Linked DNA regions of Xenopus tropicalis. The protein of the gene in region 3 interacts with the protein of the main gene of each other region in a pairwise test. Links are inferred from orthologs where the notes say so. Each region holds a gene or a part of one and is shown on either strand. Other genes may lie near its edges.

The links.
Region 1: the proteins of arrdc3 (region 3) and nedd4l interact in binary tests that used the Homo sapiens proteins (3 or more experiments, as listed by UniProt). The link is inferred for Xenopus tropicalis from reciprocal best matches to the Homo sapiens genes ARRDC3 and NEDD4L.
Region 2: the proteins of arrdc3 (region 3) and wwp2 interact in binary tests that used the Homo sapiens proteins (3 or more experiments, as listed by UniProt). The link is inferred for Xenopus tropicalis from reciprocal best matches to the Homo sapiens genes ARRDC3 and WWP2.
Region 4: the proteins of arrdc3 (region 3) and otub2 interact in binary tests that used the Homo sapiens proteins (3 or more experiments, as listed by UniProt). The two-hybrid records come from large-scale screens. The link is inferred for Xenopus tropicalis from reciprocal best matches to the Homo sapiens genes ARRDC3 and OTUB2.
Region 5: the proteins of arrdc3 (region 3) and stam2 interact in binary tests that used the Homo sapiens proteins (3 or more experiments, as listed by UniProt). The two-hybrid records come from large-scale screens. The link is inferred for Xenopus tropicalis from reciprocal best matches to the Homo sapiens genes ARRDC3 and STAM2.

What each region holds. Positions count from the first base shown.
Region 1 is NC_030677.2:201,737,334-201,741,574, forward strand, and holds part of nedd4l (E3 ubiquitin-protein ligase NEDD4-like), read right to left. Parts: intron 3,028-4,241; coding exon 2,957-3,027; intron 2,535-2,956; coding exon 2,439-2,534; intron 968-2,438; coding exon 894-967; intron 1-893. UniProt on the Homo sapiens protein: E3 ubiquitin-protein ligase that mediates the polyubiquitination of lysine and cysteine residues on target proteins and is thereby implicated in the regulation of various signaling pathways including autophagy, innate immunity or DNA repair.
Region 2 is NC_030680.2:60,922,774-60,927,687, forward strand, and holds the start of wwp2 (NEDD4-like E3 ubiquitin-protein ligase WWP2), read right to left. Parts: upstream 3,004-4,914; 5' UTR 2,965-3,003; intron 1-2,964. UniProt on the Homo sapiens protein: E3 ubiquitin-protein ligase which accepts ubiquitin from an E2 ubiquitin-conjugating enzyme in the form of a thioester and then directly transfers the ubiquitin to targeted substrates.
Region 3 is NC_030677.2:178,685,736-178,690,603, reverse strand, and holds the start of arrdc3 (arrestin domain-containing protein 3), read right to left. Parts: upstream 2,942-4,868; 5' UTR 2,753-2,941; coding exon 2,473-2,752; intron 858-2,472; exon of another isoform or gene 187-857; intron 1-186. UniProt on the Homo sapiens protein: Adapter protein that plays a role in regulating cell-surface expression of adrenergic receptors and probably also other G protein-coupled receptors.
Region 4 is NC_030684.2:88,165,425-88,168,350, reverse strand, and holds part of otub2 (ubiquitin thioesterase OTUB2), read right to left. Parts: intron 1,389-2,926; coding exon 1,270-1,388; intron 776-1,269; coding exon 691-775; intron 1-690. UniProt on the Homo sapiens protein: Hydrolase that can remove conjugated ubiquitin from proteins in vitro and may therefore play an important regulatory role at the level of protein turnover by preventing degradation.
Region 5 is NC_030685.2:75,892,594-75,896,834, reverse strand, and holds part of stam2 (signal transducing adapter molecule 2), read right to left. Parts: intron 3,930-4,241; coding exon 3,842-3,929; intron 1,694-3,841; coding exon 1,639-1,693; intron 1,482-1,638; coding exon 1,337-1,481; intron 1-1,336.

The DNA.
Region 1 (4,241 bases), about 23 Mb from region 3:
CGCGCGTCTGTGTATGTATGAATGTATAAATGTATGTATAAATGTATATATATACAGATTTGCAAGGTACAGCTGTGCTTCTATCCACTTTCTATTGTGCTTCTTGTTCCTCCCAATAAGGGACTAAAACCTATTTACTAGGGAAACCCTTAGTTAACTCGTATGGGGTTATGTAATAAATGGCACTAAGTTTGCCCAAGAGCAGTAACCCATAGCAACCAATAAGCAGGTAGAATTTACTGGTCACCTGTTTATAAGCAAATGTCTTATTGGTTGCTACGGGTTACTGCTACTGGGCAAATTTAGTGCCTTTTATTACATATGGGGGTCTGTATGTTATAGAATGCCCTATTCCTGGCAACTTTGCACTGGTCTTCATTATTTATTTTTTATAGTTTAAGAATATTTGCCTTCCCTTTTCTGCTTCTTTCCAGCTTTCAAATGGGGGTCACTGACCCCGGCAGCCAAAAACTATTGCTCTGTGAGGCTCCAGTTTTATTGTTATTGTTACTTTTTATTACTTATCTTCTGATTTGGTTCTTCTTCTATTCGTATTCCTGTCTCTTATTCAAACAACTGCCTGGTCGCTAAGGCAAATAAGATCCTAGCAACTAGACTGCTGCTGAAATACCAAGCTTGAAAGCTGCTGAACAAAAGTTAAATACCTGTAAAATCACTAAAAATATAAAAATGAAGACCAACTGCAAATTGTGTCAGAATATTAATGTCTACATCATACTAAACGTTTATTTAAAGGTGAACAACCCCTTTATGATCAGAGCAATAACTGAACTTTGAATTGATGTCTGTAAGTTTTGGGAAAGCAAAACCAATGAATTACATTCAGGCAAATGTGAATGAAACACCGAGAAGAGATGAAGAACAGAACCTACTCAATGTACTCTCGCTTGTTGTCATTGGTCACGACCATCTCAGATCCATTGGGCTTCAGATCCACCTGATACGTCTACAGAACAAGCAAATGGGTCTTCGTTAGTATAAATGCACCGCCGGCCTCGTTATTAAGGGGAAATGAATTTTATAGTGGAAGAACCGTAAGTTTCAAATGGATCCCATATTTATCAAGCAGCAGTTCATACAATTCTATATTCCATTAGTAAAGTGAAAATAAATAAAACATATAAAGTATGGCGCCATATTTACACCCATCCCGTATTTACACCAATCAATGGGACCACTGCTATTTACACGGCTTTATACATACGCTACGACATCCTTATCACCATAGTAACCAAGACATCAATCAAACTTATTTTTTTTACTACTTTCATCCCCATAATACAATGATTCCCAAACTGTGGGAACTTAAAGCAGTAGGTGCTCAGTCTAAAGGCCAATAAGATTTGGGGGTTTGTTTATTCGCTCCTATTGATACACCTGAAAGCCCAGCTTGAATGTCAACTGGGATGAGATTTGTGGGTGAAAATGTATTTGCAGCCCTAGATATTATTGGAACTAAATCTGGCCATTAGGCATATTGGTACATTTATGTTGGCCACTGGCTTATGCCCAATGATTAGGCCAACCTACAAGATTGGGGATAAGTATAAATGTATATAAATATTAATGTATATGCTATATATATGGTGTGTTATTTTTGTATAGTGCTTTTGCATTGCTTTGAGTTGATTGTTTTGCAATTTCGTTGTCCAAGTGATAATGACAATAAAGATTATTCATTCATTCATATATAACGGGAGGGGCATTTCTAGCAGAATGACTATACAGCTATTTACAGCAGCCAAGCTAAGTATATTGGAAGCCCGCTCTATTGGTAGCTGGCGTTAAGGACAGAGCTGAATCAGTGGAAGACCATATGGGCTCATTTATCAATACTGGGCAAATTAGCCCCTGGGCAGTATCCTAAAGCAACCAAACAGTAATTGGCTTTTTTTAAAACAGCATCAGGTAGAACGATGAATGCAACACTTTGATTGGTTGCCATGGGTTACTGCCCACAGGCCAAAATTTGCCCAGCACGAATGACCTCCCATAATTCCTAGGAAACCCGGCAGGCAGGCAACTGTTTCGTGAAATAAGTTTGCACAGGAGCTTGCAGGTGATTCACATCGGGGGCTTTGGTACTGTGTTTTTGGGCCACACACAGGAGAAATTTGGACCCTTGGATAACCTGTTGCTGGCCCTTACTCATTAATCTGACTCTGATAACTCTATGATTAATTCAGTTTATTGATAATTACCAGATTACACTAGGGTTTCACAGGTTGGGTGATTGTTTTACACCCCCATAATGGCGTTATAATGGACAGCCATGTTTGGTATGTTGAGGCAAGACTCACCTACCTGTACTTACCTGCAGGTTGCTATGGGCGACTGATTTTATATGTGAAACCTTCTCAAACATGCAATAAAATGACAGCCATGATTTCAGCTGAATAACTTGGGCTGGTACCCACCTGACCGAAGTTTTCTTCATCTATGCAAAACCTGAGATCCAGCTCGGTTGGGTCGTTTTCTAAGATCCATTTTAAGGAATTGTAGTATTCACTGTCCTATAAAAACAAGATGCACAGTAATTATTAGCCACGCAGTATCCTGGCGATGGCAGCGAGTAACGTGCAGGAGAAATCTTGACTTGATTGGAGAATATGGGGGTTATGTAATAAATGGCACTAAGTGTGCCCAGGAGCAGTAACCCATAGCAACCAATCAGCAGGAAGCATTTACTGGTCAACTGTTAAAAAGCAATCATCTAATTGGTTGCTACTGGTTACTGCTCCTGGGCAAACAAAGTGCCATTTATTACATATGGGGCATTATCAGTACTGAGTATCTTCCTGCCAGGAAACAATGAAGCTTGGGGGTCACAGCTTATTATTATTATAGACAATATTAATATGAAATAATAGTATTAGCCTACAATAATTTAACCACAGGGAGGTTTGGCAAAGAATATGGCGCCCAGACAACTTACCACTGACTCCATGTCTTTCAGCGTTATTTGTTTCCCCAGCATCATCTTATAGAATGGTCTAATGAAGAAACCTAAAGGGACGCAGAACAGCAAAAAGGGAAACATTAGAAGAGGTGACAAACAGCAACAAGCAGAAATACATGGAACACAGGCACGGGGGAAAGGCACCTACATTTTTTACCACAATGCACTGGGGCACCCATTACTGTAATTGGGAGTTATTGTGCCACGGTGAGGGCTAATCTGTAAATCCACATCAAAGGCACGGTGCCTGTTAGCAATAATAAGGATTGGGCACTGTTCCCAGCGTGGGGAAGAGCTATCATTCCCCTAATGCTTACTGAAGGGCTCTACAGGGCTGATAAGCACTAATGGAAGAATTGGAAATGATGAGGTCCAATAAGCTGGCAAATCGGCTAATGACTGCTAGAAAGCAGCACTCAGACGGGGGCACACAAACAGAATCGCTCTGAGAATGCTTTATATCCAACTGTGTGTGCAGAACAATTGTAGGCACAACAAATGCTAAAGATTGTTCCATGGATTGGTCTCAAACAACTCCCCGCACCCTGCACCGTCCTTATGTGACTGGTGGATTGGAGAAGCGATACGTAACAAGGCTGATTTATCTGCCCTTGGAATGCCGTGCTATAATTTTAATCACCGTAAAGGATTTATCTGCAGACTTTTACTTATAGGGAAATGGCCCAAAACTGGGCAGGCAGAACAGCTGTCCTTGTACAACCTCTTCTTGGCAAACTCCCAGCGAGAGTCTAACAAAGCTGCATTTTCTCCTTTAGTGGTTCAAGTTTGAGACTGCAAGTAAGAGGCTTTGGGCACAAGAGCACTCTCTGACGGTCAGACAGCCAGAAACGCTAGGGTTACCTGACTGTGCATGAAGTGCTACAGAGTTAAGCTGGCCATACACGTTAAGATTCGCTTGCTTGGCAAAGTCGCCAACCTACGGGTGGGTGATATCGGGAAAATGTAGGCTAATTCGATCGTTTGGCCCTGGGGAGCAATGGGGCAGTAGGTTCGGGGTCCGCATCAACGAGCCGATGCGGTCCCCGTTCTGACTAAATCTTTTAACTTGCCCAATCGATATCTGGCCAATTTCAGGCCAGATATCCTTCGGCATTCCCCTCGTTCCTGCCCCTACACTGGCAAGAACCAATATCAGCAGCTACAATCAGCCCGTGTATGGCCACCTTTAGGCAGCCAATTTGGCTCCTGCAGTCGGCAGCTTATCTGCCTGTGTATGAGGCAACCCAATGGGCCTACCAGA
Region 2 (4,914 bases), on a different chromosome or scaffold from region 3:
TTTAAAGTAATAAAAATATAATACACTGTTGCCCTGCACTGGTAAAACTGGTGTGTTTGCTACAGTAACACTACTATAATTTATATAATAAGCTGCTGTGTAGCCACAGGGGCAGCCAATAAAGCTGGAAAAAAGGAGAAAAGGCACAGGTTACATAGCAGATAACAGATAAGCTCTGTAAAATACAATAGTGTTTTATCTGTTATCTGCTATGTGCCTGTGCCTTTTCTCCTTTGAATGGCTGCCCCCATGGCTAGATAGCAGCTTATTTATATAAATTATAGTAGACTTTCTGAAGTAAACACACAACTTTTACCAGTGCAGGGCAGCAGCACATTATATTTTAGTTACTTTTATACACTTTCATTTTTTGGTGTTACTGTTCCTTTAAGTCAAGTTTTGTGTTGGATAAAGTACAGGTATGGGACCCATTATCCAGAATGCTCGGGACGTGGGGTTTTCTGGATAAGGGGTCTGTAATTCAGATCTCCTACCTTAAGTCTGCTAATAAAATTATTTAAACAGTAATTAAACCCAATAGGATTATTTTGTATCCAATAAGGATTAATTATGTCTTAGTTGGGATCAAGTACAAGGTTCTGTTTTATTACTACTGAGAAAAAGGAAATCATTTTTAAAAATGTGAATTATTTGATTAAAATTGGGTCTATGGGAGATGGCCTTTTCCTAATTTGGAACTTTCTGGATAATGGGTTTCCAGATAAGGGGTCTGATACCTGTACCAGGCAAATCCAAAAATAATGGATTCTGTGCATCCCTTCAACACAGCAAAAGTATGAACAGGGAGGACAAACATTTCAATATTGAGTTCTATGATGCATAAGAGGAAGGAGCCCATAGTTTACAATGGGTAGATAACATACAGACACAAAGGTTTGGGAATTGGCCCTTAATTGTTCTAGAACTCAAAATGGTAGAATCAGAGTTTCTTTTTGAAGAGGTTGAGAGACTGCCTCTTACGGAGCATTTCATGGATGAAAATACAGAAGTAAGGATCAGAAGCAGAGAAAGGTTATAAAATGAGATATGGAAGTGGATGTGGATATTATGTAAAGGCAGTGGCTCTGAATGAAACAGATGAGCCAGACAGAGAAAAGAATGGGGAAATGTAACACAGGTTAAATGATCAGCAGAAGATGTGTAAACTATTGTTTAATTAAAGGAACAGTAACACCAAATGATGAAAGTAATTATAATATAATATAAAGTTGCCCTGCACTGGAAACACTAATCTGTTTGCTTTAGAAACTCTACTATATTTATATAAATACCCTGCTGTGTAGCCATGGGGGCAGCCATTCAAGCTCGAAAAAAGACACAGGTTACATAGTAAATAACAAATAGGTCCTGTAGAATACAATTATGTTTTATCTGTTATCTGCTACATGATTTATGTCTTTTCTCCTTTTTTCCAGCTTGAATGGCTGCCCCTATGTCACATTTTATTTGAATTACTTTAAAACATTTTCATTTTTTGGTTTAACAGTTCCTTGTTTAAAGCGATACTGACATGTTCCTATGAAAATCCATAGGAACATATCAGTATTACTAAAACATTGCAGCACAAAAATATGTCCAGCCAAAGGACTGCCAAAGCCCAGCAGTACCTAGCTGTCAAGAAAGGGAAAGTGAATAAAAGAAGAGGTGCTATTTTCTTGGGTCATGCTGGACTGGGGTCAGCACAATCCTTTCATAGGTTAATAAGAAATAAAGCTAGTTCTTCAGCCTATGGAAGGATTACATTGCCTTAAGCCCAGTGTTAATGACACAACTACAGAGCATCCTTTAGCTATGTCAGATTGTGGGCTCAGGTAAGTATAGCTGAGCTAGGGATGTCTTTGGGGGAATTTTAGCTAGAAGGTATTTGGTGCAAAAACTCTTTAATAATACTTACACATTCTAATTATTTTTTATAGGAACATGTCAGTATAGCTCTACTAGGCTGCCAAGATAAAAAATTTTAACTGAGGGCAAGGTGGAATCTAGCAGCTGAGTTTAAAACAATGGAGAAAAAGGTGTGAGTCTGGGATGTATGTATGTATATTTTTATGTATAAAGCGCTACTTATGTACGCAGAGCTGTACAGTAGTGTACGCAGCGCTGGGATGGCACGATGCGTGTTTTAGCAGTTGCTTGAGAAAGAAAATCAGGGAACATGACAGTATTTTTAAGACGAAAGCAGAAGATTTTGGCAGTAGCATTAAAACAATCTGAGGATTAAAATGGTTAAAGATAAGTTCCAGGCAGCATGCTCAATTAACAATATTAATAAGCATGCCATCAAAGGTAATGCTAAAGAGATGAGACAGGCCAGATTTGGATGGCTAGACTACAGGATCCGTTTTTGTGAGGTTTATTTTGAGGTGGCACAGATTTATCCAGAAGGGAATACCTAGGAGTCAGCCAGAGATCTGGGTCTGCATGTCAGTGCTTCCTGGAAGGGTTTCTTAATATATCCTTATGTTAAATCGTTTTCCTTAACAGAGAGTGTACATGGCAAACAACATAATGATTGTGTCAGAGTTTTATAAGCTAGTGTAACAAGACCACTAACATAACTAGGAACCTTGTCACATATTTATGTTTTCGGTACAACACTGCGCACTGTTATGGCTTCTTGCCCTCCCACCACAATCCCAGTTCTCTCCTGAAATACAAAGTGCCCTCGAGCTATCGCCAATACACCGCTAGCAAAGTGTTTCAGTCTGCTGTCATATTCTCATTATTACACGAACACCATTACTAGGAACCTCCCCCAAACAAAGCAAACGTTCTCTGTACTTTAAATGTGTATTCCCCATCCCCTCACAATGTAAATCCAATCAATAACAAACAGCATAATATCTCTCTGCCTGCTTTATTCTTCCCCACTCTTCCAAATCAAATCTGTTTTACTGTCGCCGACCCTATGCTGTTCCGCCAAATTCTTTTATTTGTATTTACCTGCTACACCACTCTCTTCTTCACTTCCGCCTTCAGCACTTTCGGTCATGTGACCATTGGCCTTGTCACGTGACCCGGAAGAAAGTTTAGGTAGCACCGGATGCAGGAGGTGTTGGCGTTCTGTAGTGAGCTGCCATTTTACTATGGGGACGATATCCCGTGGGTTCTTAGCAACAATCTCTCTTTATCGTTCTTATTTCTCGGCACGCTAAAAGGCGTGAGGGACGTTTATATTCAATTAGTGAGTTACGGGAAGTGTCAGTTTTGCTATTGTGCGTACTCTAAGCACCGTTCCGCATTGTTTGTCTTATATTCTACTGTACTGGAAATGCAAAGCGATACAATTAAAGAATTTGTGTGAATTTTTTTCTACCTCGTTAAAAGATTTTTTGCATGGTCTGTAACCAATTGTGGTGTTGCTGCTTCTGGGATACAATGCTATGTTCTCTATTCTTTTAATATGTTTCCATATTGGTGACATTAGCAGCAAGTCTTATTTTTAGCAGCTGGGACGGCCAGGCGGCAGCCCCACCAACAATTCCCTATAAATAAGTGGACAGAAGATAATAACTAAGCTCGGATCTGCAACTGCCCGTTCATTGTTGATTTTTTAATGGATACCGTTGTTCCCCCCCCCGGTTGAAACATAGATATATTAATTTTTCTGGCATTACTATACTATGCATGCAGTGGCCCAGGGCAGCAGAGGAAGCTGTGGGGCATTAAATAAAAGATGATTGCACAGCACTCTAGTGGAGATTACCTTGGACCTATGTTAGAGTTTGTTCCCAAAGATGTTCAATGTATTGTCATTTTGCTGGAAGCTGTACTACTTTCCTCTCCCCTTTTTTCTTTCATTTATTCCACACATCTCTTGCTTTATATATTATGTATTGTTTAGAAAAAAAGTAGGGGGAACAACAGTTACTATATATATATATATATAATTTTATATGTAGCAAGAAGACAGGCACTCTCGTAAAAGTAGGTCCAAAGGAGCCTGGGTGCAGTTCCAAAATAATAGATGGAGTAGCTGTAGAGAGAGTCCGCACTCACAGGTCTTACAGAAAATATAGAGGTTTTATTCAAATCAACATCTAACGTTTCGGCTGCATCCACAGCCTTTCTCAAAGTCTTTGAGAAAGGCTGTGGATGCAGCCGAAACGTTAGATGTTGATTTGAATAAAACCTCTATATTTTCTGTAAGACCTGTGAGTGCGGACTCTCTCTACAGCTACTCTTTATATATATATACACATACACAAGGAAGAGTGGAGCACACCCTATAAAAGTTCAAATGCCCTGGGTGCTGGCTGGTTTGGCCTTTTGGTTTGTCCCTGAGGAAGAGTACAGTTAGTACTCTAAATGTTGGATTTTTTTGAATAAAATTTTTTCACTTTATCGTTAAGTCCTTGTGTGCGGCTCTCTGTCTATATATATATATATATATATATATATATATATATATAGTTTAAATATGAAGAATTCAAATCAGAATAGCAGAAGGGGAAAAGGCAGAGAAGATAATGAATAGAAAGGTGGTGATTCAGATTCTGTTCAAAACAGCAGATTAGATGAACATTTATGTATAAATTCTTTCGGAGCAGTTACATTTCCTTGTGCTGCTAACTCTCTAAACACTGCAAATACAACGTATACTACAACATAAGGTTGCATAAAAAACAGCGGCAATGATCTACATGACTCTAAAAGGGTCCCAATTTATTAGATACCCAATGGTTGGTGCTACATTCCCCTAAAAAGCACACCAGGTCCAAGGTAATTTCCACTAGAGTGCCGTGCATGTGTATATCCAAACAGGCTGTGATATTACATTGGGACTTTGCTTCTGATTATTGTAATGTATCCACCATATGCTGGAATCTTTTGATTTTAGCTTAATTTCACCAAAGTTCATATGAGCAGGATACCTGCAATTTTAAAATCTGC
Region 3 (4,868 bases):
CGAAATACAAAGGGGAGCAGCTGCTAAAACAAATAAATAAATGTACATTATAGTAAATCTGAGGTATATTATAGCAAGTCTATAGGTAGCACAACGTGATTTGGTAATTTAAGTCGGTTTGCTTGACTGAATATAATTTGATATGTTTCTCTTCTTAATGGAGCAGCACTTTTCCCCTTGCCTTACTTTCTTCCTTTGTGCCAGCTCAGCAATGTGCTGCAAAGTGAGCAGGCGAGAGAGAGGCAGCCGCACAGTGTGGTAAACAAGTGTGGAACTGTCAATCACAAGCAGACTCCAGCAGGAGAGGACCGGCCTGAACCGGTGCGAGCAGAACCTCAGCCAGTCCCTCATATGCATAGCTATTACGTAGCTCAGCCGCAGAGAGCGCAGCCTAACCCATGTCTCCGCCCACCTCCTCCCCCCGCCCCCAGCTTCCGGGTGTACAGGAGACCACGCTGGATTCTTGCTGAGAGCGGTACTACGTGTGTAGCCAGCACTAGCAATGCCCAGAGCGGTACTACGTGTGTAGCCAGCACTAGCAATGCCCAGAGCGGTACTACGTGTGTAGCCAGCACTACCAATGCCCAGAGCGGTACTACGTGTGTAGCCAGCACTAGCAATGCCCAGAGCGGTACTACGTGTGTAGCCAGCACTACCAATGCCCAGAGCGGTACTACGTGTGTAGCCAGCACTAGCAATGCCCAGAGCGATACTACGTGTGTAGCCAGCACTAGCAATGCTTAGGACCGGTATAATAAATGGCTTACACAGCTGTAAGCACTGCTCCCTAGCATAGTATAAAGCATTATGTGATGAAAGTATCTCTCTGGAGACCAGTGGGCTGCTAATGAACTATAAGTCACCCTGTAAGTATAGAGCATAAGGATAAGGCTCAATCACACGCACGCCTATTCCACACACAGTCCCTGCAACACAATAAAGGCAGCTGCGCTAATAAAGCCATGAGCTTGATACTCTATCACCGCCCCCTGCTCTAGCGCCAGCGGACTAGCAGCGTCAGGGAAGGCTAAAACGTCACGGGCACGCCCATCTCACTCCACCTGTTCCCTGGCGCCCTAAGCAACAAGGCCAGCCAATCGCATTCAGCGGCCGTTGTCTTGACAACAGCCTAACAAACTGCTCTGGGCCAATCGAATGCGAGTTGGGCGCGGCACTGATTTCCTTCCTCCTCCCTCACCAAGCAAGCTAGTGTGGCGCTGCACCTAACTGTAACTGTTAACCTGTAAGTTGCTGAGGTAGAATGGCACAGCTCGCAGCACACTACAATGAAACAATGCCTTGGGCGCTTTGCTAGTCACTGTGTGAGGCTGGACACCTGTTGGTGCATTACTGAGCTCTGAGACCGGCTTACTTAGCGCCTAGTAGCATTGTGCAGTAGAGCCTGCCAGTACTCTGGCTCCTTACACTGTTCCACTAATACACAGCACATACTTTATTTTCCTACGAGCCCTTACTGACCTGGAATTGAGAGCCCAACCCTGTGTATTGCATGGAGTCCGGCAACGTTCACTTGCTCAGTGACAGCACCTCTATACCACTAAGTCATGGAGGCTAGCACCACATATTGTACAGAGAGCCGCTCACTTCTTGCCCAAACACTGCCCTCAGCACTACTCTAGCACTACTCATTGCAATGCAGCACTGGCAAGTAACGCTGCCTTGGAATGGTATCACCGGGCAGCCATATAGAGTTGCAAGCCATTCATGGAACAGCAATGCCAGCTCCTTAGCGTGATACTAACGTTATGAGGTGCAATAACGATGGAAAATATAGACATTTGTACTGAATGAAGGTGCAAAGGATGCGCCATGCATGAGTGGGGTGGGTACCCACATATCGCCCAGCAGGGATTGAGGGGTACACTGCTGTTATTCAGTGCTTCTTTCCTTTGGAAGCGATTCAGCCTGCTCACCACCTGACTCCCCATCAGCCAATCCCGTGCAAGCAGCGCAGCTCCCCCCTCCCACTCACTTCTCTCTCCACTGACACCACTAGCCGAAAACAGGATTGAACCGCTTCTAACAAAGGGTGGTGTAAACTTCAGAAAAACAAGATGATTCCTTCACTTCCCCCACCCTGCTCGCAATGACTCTTCAACTCTCCCCATGCCCCCCCCCCCATGCCCAATCACCCCCATATTCACTGGGCTCCCCAACAGGCTGCCCGGGCTCTGCGGCACACACCTTCCAGTTAGGCTGGCGAGCTGGGCACAGCCATGGGAGCCCACAGCAGCTGTATATACAGCCACACAATGCAAACAAATGGGCAATGACCGTTCCATAAGTTCAATAACAAAGCACTATGCTGATGCTGTAGAACTACAACTCCCAAGCCCCTCAGCTAAATATAAAGGCTACAACTTCACACAAATAAATGGCTGCCTGACTGATAACCAATACACCCCAATATCAGGTACCCCCAGCACCCCATAAAAGCCCCAGCATCCTTACCTCTCTCATGCCCAATCAGGATGTCTTTATGACTGAAATACTCCACTTCTTCAGTATAATTCTGGGTATAGGCAGTGTTGGAGCCAGCGTTCCTTGATTCCGTCCATCTGACTTTTGCATGCCCCCTGGCATGGATCCTCAGGGATTTCACCCGAATTTCCCCCGTCACTTCCAGATTGACCCTTCCTGAGACTGCATCCCCGCTGGAATAGACGGGGACGTGGCTGCCATTGAGGCAGTCAAAGCTTATGGTCAAACTCTTCACCTTCCCCAGCACCATGATTGTAAAAGGGGGCTATAAAAATATTCTGGGGGGGAGACAAAAGTTTCCGATTTCACATCAATGGCGATGTTGCCAGAGCACTGGAGTATGCATTTGCCGTGCAGAGACTGCAGGCAGGCTCAGTGCTCGCCCAGCGGCCAGCTCATCGGGAAGAACAGGTAGGAGAAGTAACAGCAGCAGCTGCTGTCACAGTGCTCTCTTCTATGGTCTCTTTACAAAGACGCCTGTCTGCAGTGTGCCGGCTCACTTATGTGCGGCTTTGGGAAAAACAAGCTCTCTGCGCATGCGCGCCCCTCTGCCACTCTTCCCTCACTCACTCACTCTCCGCTAGCCCTCTAATATAGGGTTCTCTTATTCAAGAGACAACTTCGTAGGTCAGGACGTGTCCTTTTAGTTCCTATTCCTTTGTTTATGCATCCAACGTAGGCAGCTACATCCGAAAGGTAAACGGGTGATTTGTGAGGCCTTTGGGAAACATCAAAAAGTGTTGGAGTGATGCAGTCGGTGCGGTGCTGCAGTCACTTCTGAAGCATTCTGATCCTGTGCCCCTTCCCAGGGCTTATATAGGGAATCGTTTCCCCCTCCATTGGAAAATATAAGGAAGTGAATATTCCGAGGTCAACGTTGCCTCTAATTCCGTCTTTGCCCCATCATCATAATAAATATGTGTATAACTGAAACTTATTGTTCACTGACGTTTACCCTTCCTCCCTTCACTGCTACCACACGAATATTTGTGCTTCAAGTTCCAGCACAATGTATAATGTGTATATACAGTGGATATAAAAAGTCTACACACCCCTGGTAAAATGTCAGGTTCCTGTGCTGTACAACAATGAGACAAAGATAAATCATTTTAGAAATTTTTCCACCTTTAATGTGCCCTATAAACTGTACCACTCAATTGAAAAACAAACAAATCTTTTAGGGGGAGGGAAGAAAACCAAAAAAACTAAAATAATGTGGTTGCATAAGTGTGCACACCCATAAACTAATACTTTGTTAAAGCACCTTTTGATTTTATTGCAGCACTCAGTCTTTTTGGGTATGAGTCTATCAGCATGGCACGTTTTGACTTGCAAGATTTGCCCACTCTTCTTTGCAGAAACACTCCAAATCTGTCAGATTGCAAGGGCATCTCCTGTGCACAGCCCTCTTCAGATCAACCCACAGATTTTCAATCGGATTCAGGTCTGGGCTCTGGCTGGGCCATTCCAAAACTTTAATCTTCCGGTGAAGCCATTCCTTTGTTGATTTGGATGTATGCTTTGGGTCGTTGTCATGCTGAAAGATGAAGTTCCTCCTCATGTTCAGCTTTCTAGCAGAAGCCTGAGGGTTTTGTGCCAATATTGACTGGTATTTGGAACTGTTCATAATTCCCTCTATCTTAACTAAGGCCCCAGTTCCAGCTGAAGAAAAACAGCCCCATGATGCTGCCACCACCATGCTTCACTGTGGGTATGGTGTTCTTTTGGTGATGTGCAGTATTGTTTTTGTCCCAAACATATTTTTTGGAATTATGGCCAAAAAGTTCAACCTTGGTTTCATCAGACCATAACACCTTTTCCCACATGCTTTTGGGAGACTTCAGATGTGTTTTTGCAAAATGTAGCCTGACTTGGATGTTTTTCTTCGTAAGAAAAGAAATACGGGAGATTGTTGTCACATGTACCACACAGCCAGTACTTGCCAAATATTCTTGCAGCTCCTTTAATGTTGCTGTAGGCCTCTTGGTAGCCTCCCTGACCAGTTTTCTTCTCGTCTTTTCATCAATTTTGGAGGGACGTCCAGTTCTTGGTAATTCACTGTTGTGCCATATTTCTCCCTTTGATGATGACTGTCTTCACTGTGTTCCATGGTATATCTAATGCCTTGGAAATTCTTCTGTACCTTCTCCTGACTGATATCATTTAACAATGAGATCCCTCTGATGCTTTGGAAGCTCTCTGTGGACCATGGCTTTTGCTGTGGGATGCGACTAAAAAAATGTCAGGAAAGATCAACTAGAGCAGCTGAACTTTATTTGGGGTTAATCAGAGGCACTTTAAATGATGGCAGGTGTATGCTGACTCCTATTTAACATGATTTTGTAATGTGATTCCTTAATTCTGAA
Region 4 (2,926 bases), on a different chromosome or scaffold from region 3:
GAAATCAGGCTACAGTTTTAACTACTGCTATCTTATTCTTTGCAAGACTTGCACATTTATACTACAGGTATGGGATCTGTTATCTGGAAACCTGTTACCCAGAAAGTTTAAAATGATCAAAAATACAATTCTTTTAATCAAATAAATATAATTTTTAAAAATGATTTACTTTTTCTTTGTAATAATAAAACAGTACACCTTGTACTTTATCCCAGCTAAGATATCATTAATCCCTGCTGGAAGTAAAACAATCCTATTGATGAAGATCCAAATTACAAAAAGACTGCTTTTATGGGGAAACCCCGGGTCCCAAGCATTCTGGATAACAGGTCCCATACCTCTACTTTCAACTTGGAAGTATAATTTGTATGTCCTCCTATACTGTTAACCACTATAGTTTGTTAAGAGGTGAGAATGGTGAGAGCTACAAATTCTAATATATGTAGCAAAATACCAAAATGCATTAAATCCATGTTTAATAACTGAATCATTGTTTTAGTGCAGTTTTACAATACTCAGGAGTTTTCCTTAAGCAAAATATGTTACTTGTATCGTTATACTAATGTGCTAAATTCTTAGACCCATTCAGAAAAATTGTTAGTCAAAAAAGTACCAAAGGAAATTGTCAAAAGAAAAACTAAACAGAGCAAGCCCTTGTGACCATTTCTGTTTTGCTTTTACTTTACTTACAGTTTCATAGTGGTGCTTAAACAAGTGTTCTTGAAATCCAGCCATTACCACTTCACTCTTACTCTGGACCACAAGATGTTTAAATCTGAAGAAAATAAAGTAGAAAGTACAACTGTGATTTTAGACATGACTTGGTCACAAACAAACCCCTCAGTATGTTAGTTGCCTGAACCTTTCTCTTGCCCTTAATTAGCACTATTATAAAATTGCTTATTTCAGACTGTATATTAAAGCTACATGTATTAAAGAGACATATATTACTTTTTTCTCTTCTGAGAAGTGCTCCCAGGTAATTCTTAAATTAAGCCAATAAACCGCTTTCCCCTGCTCATAAAGTGGGTAATGTAATTAAAGTCTAGTCATCCCTAGCAGATGTCATATCAGATATTTGTCAATTGGTTCATATGGGTCACTAGATCTGGTTCAAACTTTTATTACATTGATCCCTTTATTGGGAATTCCACGACCTTGAGTGGCTTATGACATACACAGAGTTATGTTTTGTGCTTTATCAAATAAAAGCAATGAACTCAACACTAAATCGTGCTATCTACGCAATAAACCAAATGTTGTACACACCTAAGAATTTCTTGCTGTTTGCCCAGTAGAAATTCCAGGTAAGCAAAGCAAAGTCCTCTGTAAAAACAGCTCCCATCTGCCCGTGTCTTCCTTACGCTGTGGTACTGGTTTTGTAGATCCTGTGTTTTTAAAATAATTACAAATGTTTTAATGGTGCAATTCAACTATGTTTTGGATTTACAAATCCATGGTGATGGTGCCATAGCCTTTAATGTATACCCTTTTAAACAAACAAGCATACCAGATCCACCAAGCAGCCAACTGCATAGAGCTCTGTAAAAAGAAAACTGCCAATGAAGTACAGGTATAGGACCCATTATCCAGAATGCTCAGGACCAAGGGTATTCCGGATAAGGGGTCTTTCCGTAATTTGGATCTCCATACCTTACGTCTACAAAAAAATCAATTAAACATTAATTAAACCCAATAGGATTGTTTTGCACCCAATAAGGATTATTTATATCTTTGTTGGGATCAAATACACGGTTCTGTTTTATTATTACAGAGAAAAAGGAAAATAGTTTTAAAATTCTGAATTATTTGATTAAAATGGGGTCTATGGGAGACGGGCTTTCCGTAATTCGGAGCTTTCTGGATAGCGGGTTTCTGGATAAGGGATCCCATACCTGTACTACAGGTATGGGACTTGTTATCTACTAAAAAAAATATAAATATTTGTTAAACCAAATACAATTGTTTTAGCTCCAATACGTATTCATTATATCTTAGTTGCGGTCAAAATGGTGAAAAAATGGTTTTAAAAATGTTAATTATTTTATTAAAATAAAGTCCATGGGACCTGGCCGCCTGGTAATTCAGAGATTTCTGGATAATGGCTTTCTAGATAACGGATTCTATACCTGTACTGCATCAAGCATAAAAGTTTATGTATGAACAAAGAAAAACCCCAAAGAGCCTGCATGTACAGACAGACAGGGAGATAATAAAAAAGCAACTTGATTATTTTCAGAAATGGTTTTTGTAATATAGTTTTCCTTTTAAACTTGGTATGGTTTTAAAATTATTCTTTTATTTTCTTTTGTTATTGGTCACCTTTCAATTAAGGCCCTTAATGAGTAATGTTCTCTTATGTCTATGAAGATTCTCATTCATCCAGGTCATGATATACAGTATCTAGTAGAATTAAGTCTAAAACAACTGGACTGGAGTTTTTCTTGAAAACGTTTCACCACTCATCCGAGTGGCTTCTTCAGTTCAAATGACTGGTAGGGAATTCCCCGGTATTTAAACTCTTGATGGTAGTAGAGTCACAGACATCCAATCACAATGGTTCCATTGAACTTGTTCAGTTAGGTGTTAGCTGAAACTGACAGGTATAAGAAGGTATGATCCAATCACAATGGTACCAAGATTCTCATTGATGAAGGTGTTAATCCTTCAAAGTACATGACTGGAAGTGTGAACTGTTGTGAAACTGCCGGGGTAAGGATGTCAACGCGCCATTGTATGTTGGTGACAAGCGGTGTCTCAGGCCCCCTCCTCTGTTCAGGGATGGTTTTTCCAGGTTGGCATAAATGGCCTCTTTCACACCTCTTTCAAACCATCTGTCCTCTCGGTCCAAAATATGCACGTTACTGTCCTCAAAAGAGTGACCTTTTTCTTTGAGGTGTAGATAGACCGCTGAGTCAATGGAACC
Region 5 (4,241 bases), on a different chromosome or scaffold from region 3:
GAAGGCAGGTAAAGACCCTAAGTCCCATCCTTATCATGGCTGTCTGAAGACAGGTAAGGGCCCTAAGTCCCATCCAAATCATGGCTGTCTGCAGGCAGGTAAGGGCCCTAAGTCCCATCCTTATCATGGCTGTCTGAAGACAGGTAATGACCCTAAGTCCCATCCTTATAATGGCTGTCTGAAGGCAGGTAATGGCCCTAAGTCCCATCCTTATAATGGCTGTCTGAAGGCAGGTAAGGGCCCTAAGTCCCATCCTTATCATGGCTGTCTGAAGACAGGTAATGGCCCTAAGTCCCATCCTTATCATGGCTGTCTGAAGACAGGTAATGGCCCTAAGTCCCATCCTTATAATGGCTGTCTGAAGGCAGGTAAGGGCCCTAAGTCCTATCCTTATCATGGCTGTCTGAAGACAGGTAATGGCCCCAAGTCCCATCCTTATAATGGCTGTCTGAAGGCAGGTAAGGGCCCTAAGTCCCATCCAAATCATGGCTATCTGAAGACAGGTAATGGCCCTAAGTCCCATCCTTATCACGGCTGTCTGCAGGCAGGTAATGGCCCTAAGTCCCATCCAAATCATGGCTGTCTGAAGACAGGTAATGGCCCTAAGTCCCATCCTTATCATGGCTGTCTGCAGGCAGGTAAGGGCCCTAGGTCCCATCCATATCATGGCTGCCTGAATGCGCTCAGTATTTCTTGGTTGGGTGGCAAATCAGCAGCCGGGGGGGCCTTTATTTTGTCTATCCTTTTCATTATGATTTAGTATAACGTTCCTTTCTGTACTACAGTCAGTATGTGACGGATGCAGGCATGAATAACACAGTATAAGGCCCTATTGAGATGACTGTTCCCCTTTAATCCTTTTTCAGTATCACATGGCCAACTGTAGAGAACCCATTTCCAGCTCTTTCTCCATCAGATGTCTCTCTAGACAGTATCAAAGCGCTCACACAGGAAAAGAGATCAAAGCTCTCCCCCTCTCTATAGCAGATAACAAAGAGACCAGAATGGAGCCTTCCTCTCCTTTCCCTGCCCTAACTCTGCATCATAAAGGAAAACCTCTGCATTAGATAGAAAATATTGGCATCACAAATGGCATCTATTTTTGGAACTATAGATCAATTCTTCGTGAAAGGTTTAATCATATTAAAGCAAAGTGCTGCTGTACTGCTTTCTACATACAGCTAGTCAAATTACACAGCCCCAAGCTCTAATATTAAATACCCCAGGACTGGCTGCTTGGTGCCCCCCACTTGGTGGTATTACGCCCCATATCTTGACTGGCAGCTGTATGGGCACAGCTGGGTGTAAATAATTGGCAGAAGAAAGAAGCACTCACCTGCATAGATACCCCAGCAGGGTAATGACCCTGTGCCTGGGGCTTGTTATACACAGAATACATAGGAGCTTCATTCATTAACTTATTGTATAACTCTACGGCCTCCATTACTTTCACATTTAGTTCTGAGAGCTCGGAATGTTTCCTGATTGGGGGAAAAAAGGTAATTATCCAAATAGAAGATAACATTAAACTTATAGCGTAAGGCACATGAAAACATTCAGATATTGATTGCCCTCGGTAAAAGCATTCCCTCCATATCATTGAGGCAGTACACTGACCATATGTCTGCATGAACTCACCTGTCAATCTCTTGTAACCTATCGTCGATCATGGGGCCCATCTGCTGGCAGACGTCTGCACGAGTTAAAAATAAGACTTGGTGAGAAGCAATTTCCTAATGTGTGATGATTACAAATGCAGTAAGTTCTCATATTTTAACACTGTGAAAAGAGTGAATCTGAAGCAACAGCGCCACCTGCTGTTCATTTTGACTGGACCCAGCCCGTAGAAAATTAACATGTTGTGACAGTGGCTCTGCTTAGAACTGACCAGAGAAACATCTGATGATCATTTTCTAAGCAGAGCTACATTGCAAGATGTTAATTTTCTTTTGAAATTCATTTTCAGCCAAGTACTGGTTGTTGCTAGGTAAAAGAAAAGAAAGGTGCCCTTATTTATCGGAGATAAATAATGTGTTAGGGCTGCACTGGGATACAATATGTGCTTGCCATATAATAGCCGTACACAATATGAACAGTGTGAAGTCTCTGATGTTACTGGAAGCTCAGCTGCATTCTGTAAGAGTATTTATTCATCCATATCCATACTAACAGCAGGTTCAGATTAAGAGTCAGTACAGGCCCTGGCAATTCACGTAAACAGAGGCCCAAAAAGCCCCACCCTCATCAACAGCAGCCACTGTGGCATTTGCCAGAATCTACAGATTGCCAGTTAGGGTCAGACTAAAGGTGGCCATACATGAGCAGATTTTTTTTTTTTTTTTTTTTTTTTAAAAAGGGGATTACACCAATCTCCCCATATCCTCTACAGCCCCACGTGTTTCATATATAAGTTTCATGAGTGAGAGTGCTCTATCCACTAACTGACTCCACACATTCAGGGAGGGCCGGTTACTCCCCATCCAATGCATAATCACTGTCTTTTTGCCATAAAACAAAAGTGTATGGAGCCAAATTCTGGTTGCGCTGGTAGGTACTACATCATCAATAACCCCCAGTAAGCAGACCACGTGGTCAACTATTTGAGGAGTGCACAGTTCCAGGGCCAGGTTCTCCATTATGTCCTTCTAAATCTCATTATAGGGGAACATGACCAGACCATATGTATGACGTTGGCACCTGGGGTGTTGCATGGGGGGCAAAGATCATCTTGCCCTTTGCCAATTCGTAGCAGCTTATACATGGGCAGATTTAAGAGGCAGCCAATTCACACCCTTCAGACCGATTCTACATTCTCTGTCTGTGTATGGGGCCCTCCACTTCGCCTACCTGATCAATATGTGGCAGAAAATCAGGCAGATATTGATCGGGCAGGTTTCATCTTCCAGTTGGAAACCGCATTGGCTTATCAATGCAATCCTCACTCACCTGATAGTTCGTATTCATGATCAGATTAGCAGGATATTGCCCCAGAGGTGGGCTTATTGGGGAAAAAGGCCTGCTCATTTAGCTACCTAGCCCTATAGTGTATGGCCAGTTTAACAGTGATGGACAAACAAATGAGCCTCAGTCCTATTGTGCACTAAGCAACTGCAGCATAGGGAGGAATTTCTTAACTGTGCCAAAAGGCAAACTTGAATACAGGGATGGACCCTGTCTGCTGTGTGTAAGAAGCCTGTACCAAAGGTTGAACAGACCCAGGGTCGAACTGGGGGGTGCAGGGCCCACAGGGGCTCCCGCCCCAGGGGCCCTGCAGATGCCCCCGCCGGCCGTGTCCCCCTAACCCCCCCAGGGGCCCCACTAACTCCCCCCCACCGCAGGGCCCCTACCAGACGTCCTCCCCGAGCGCATATAAAATTAACGCGTCAGGGGAGGAACAGTCGGGCAGGGGGAGCGCCGGAAAGGGTCGGACAGGGCCCACCGGCATTTTTCCCGGTGTCCTGGCGGCCCAGTCCGACCCTGAACAGACCTATAACAGTAATGGTCCAGACCTATAACAGTAATGGTCCAAGTTGCACAAAGAAACTTCCCCTTAGGTTGTCTTTTGTGTGCCAGTGGCACTGCACATGCTCAGTAAGCTCTGGGCTGCCGCCGAGAAGCTAAGATTAGGGGTCGTTGGAAATTATCTAAACTACGGGGCTGGTTATTAATTAAATGTGACATAGACTGCACTGATTTCTATGCTGCATGAAATGGGAAGCATTTGGGGGCCGACTTTAGTACCAAGTTTTACTGCTAAAAGGCTGAGGCGGCCTCAGAAGCCCAAACTATACAGTCAGTTACATATCTGTGAGTAAGCACTGGGCACTCCTCTTATCCATACCTTCTAAATCCAGAAGAGCAGAAGAGTCAGGCTTGGGATCTGTTGGATCAATGCTCTGAAGCAGCTGTAAGGCATGATCCATTTTGCCCTAGAAAATAAGAACAACCCAACATATAACTGGGGTCTGAAAAACGAAATAGTTAAAGGGGCAGTACACACACAAACATACATACATGAGCTATATAAAGAGAACATATACTGAAAATCTATCCCACCTGTTCTTTTCATTAGCAAAAATCCATACTTTTTTAAGCTATAAAGCACAAAGGACACTGATGCCCTTGCAGTAAACAGCCTGTTACCTGTTAACCCTTGCTATATGGGGATAATATGGGGAGACTTAAGGGCACTACTGAGAGAACTGAAGGTATGCCTGCAGCTTGAGATTAACTCTTTATTA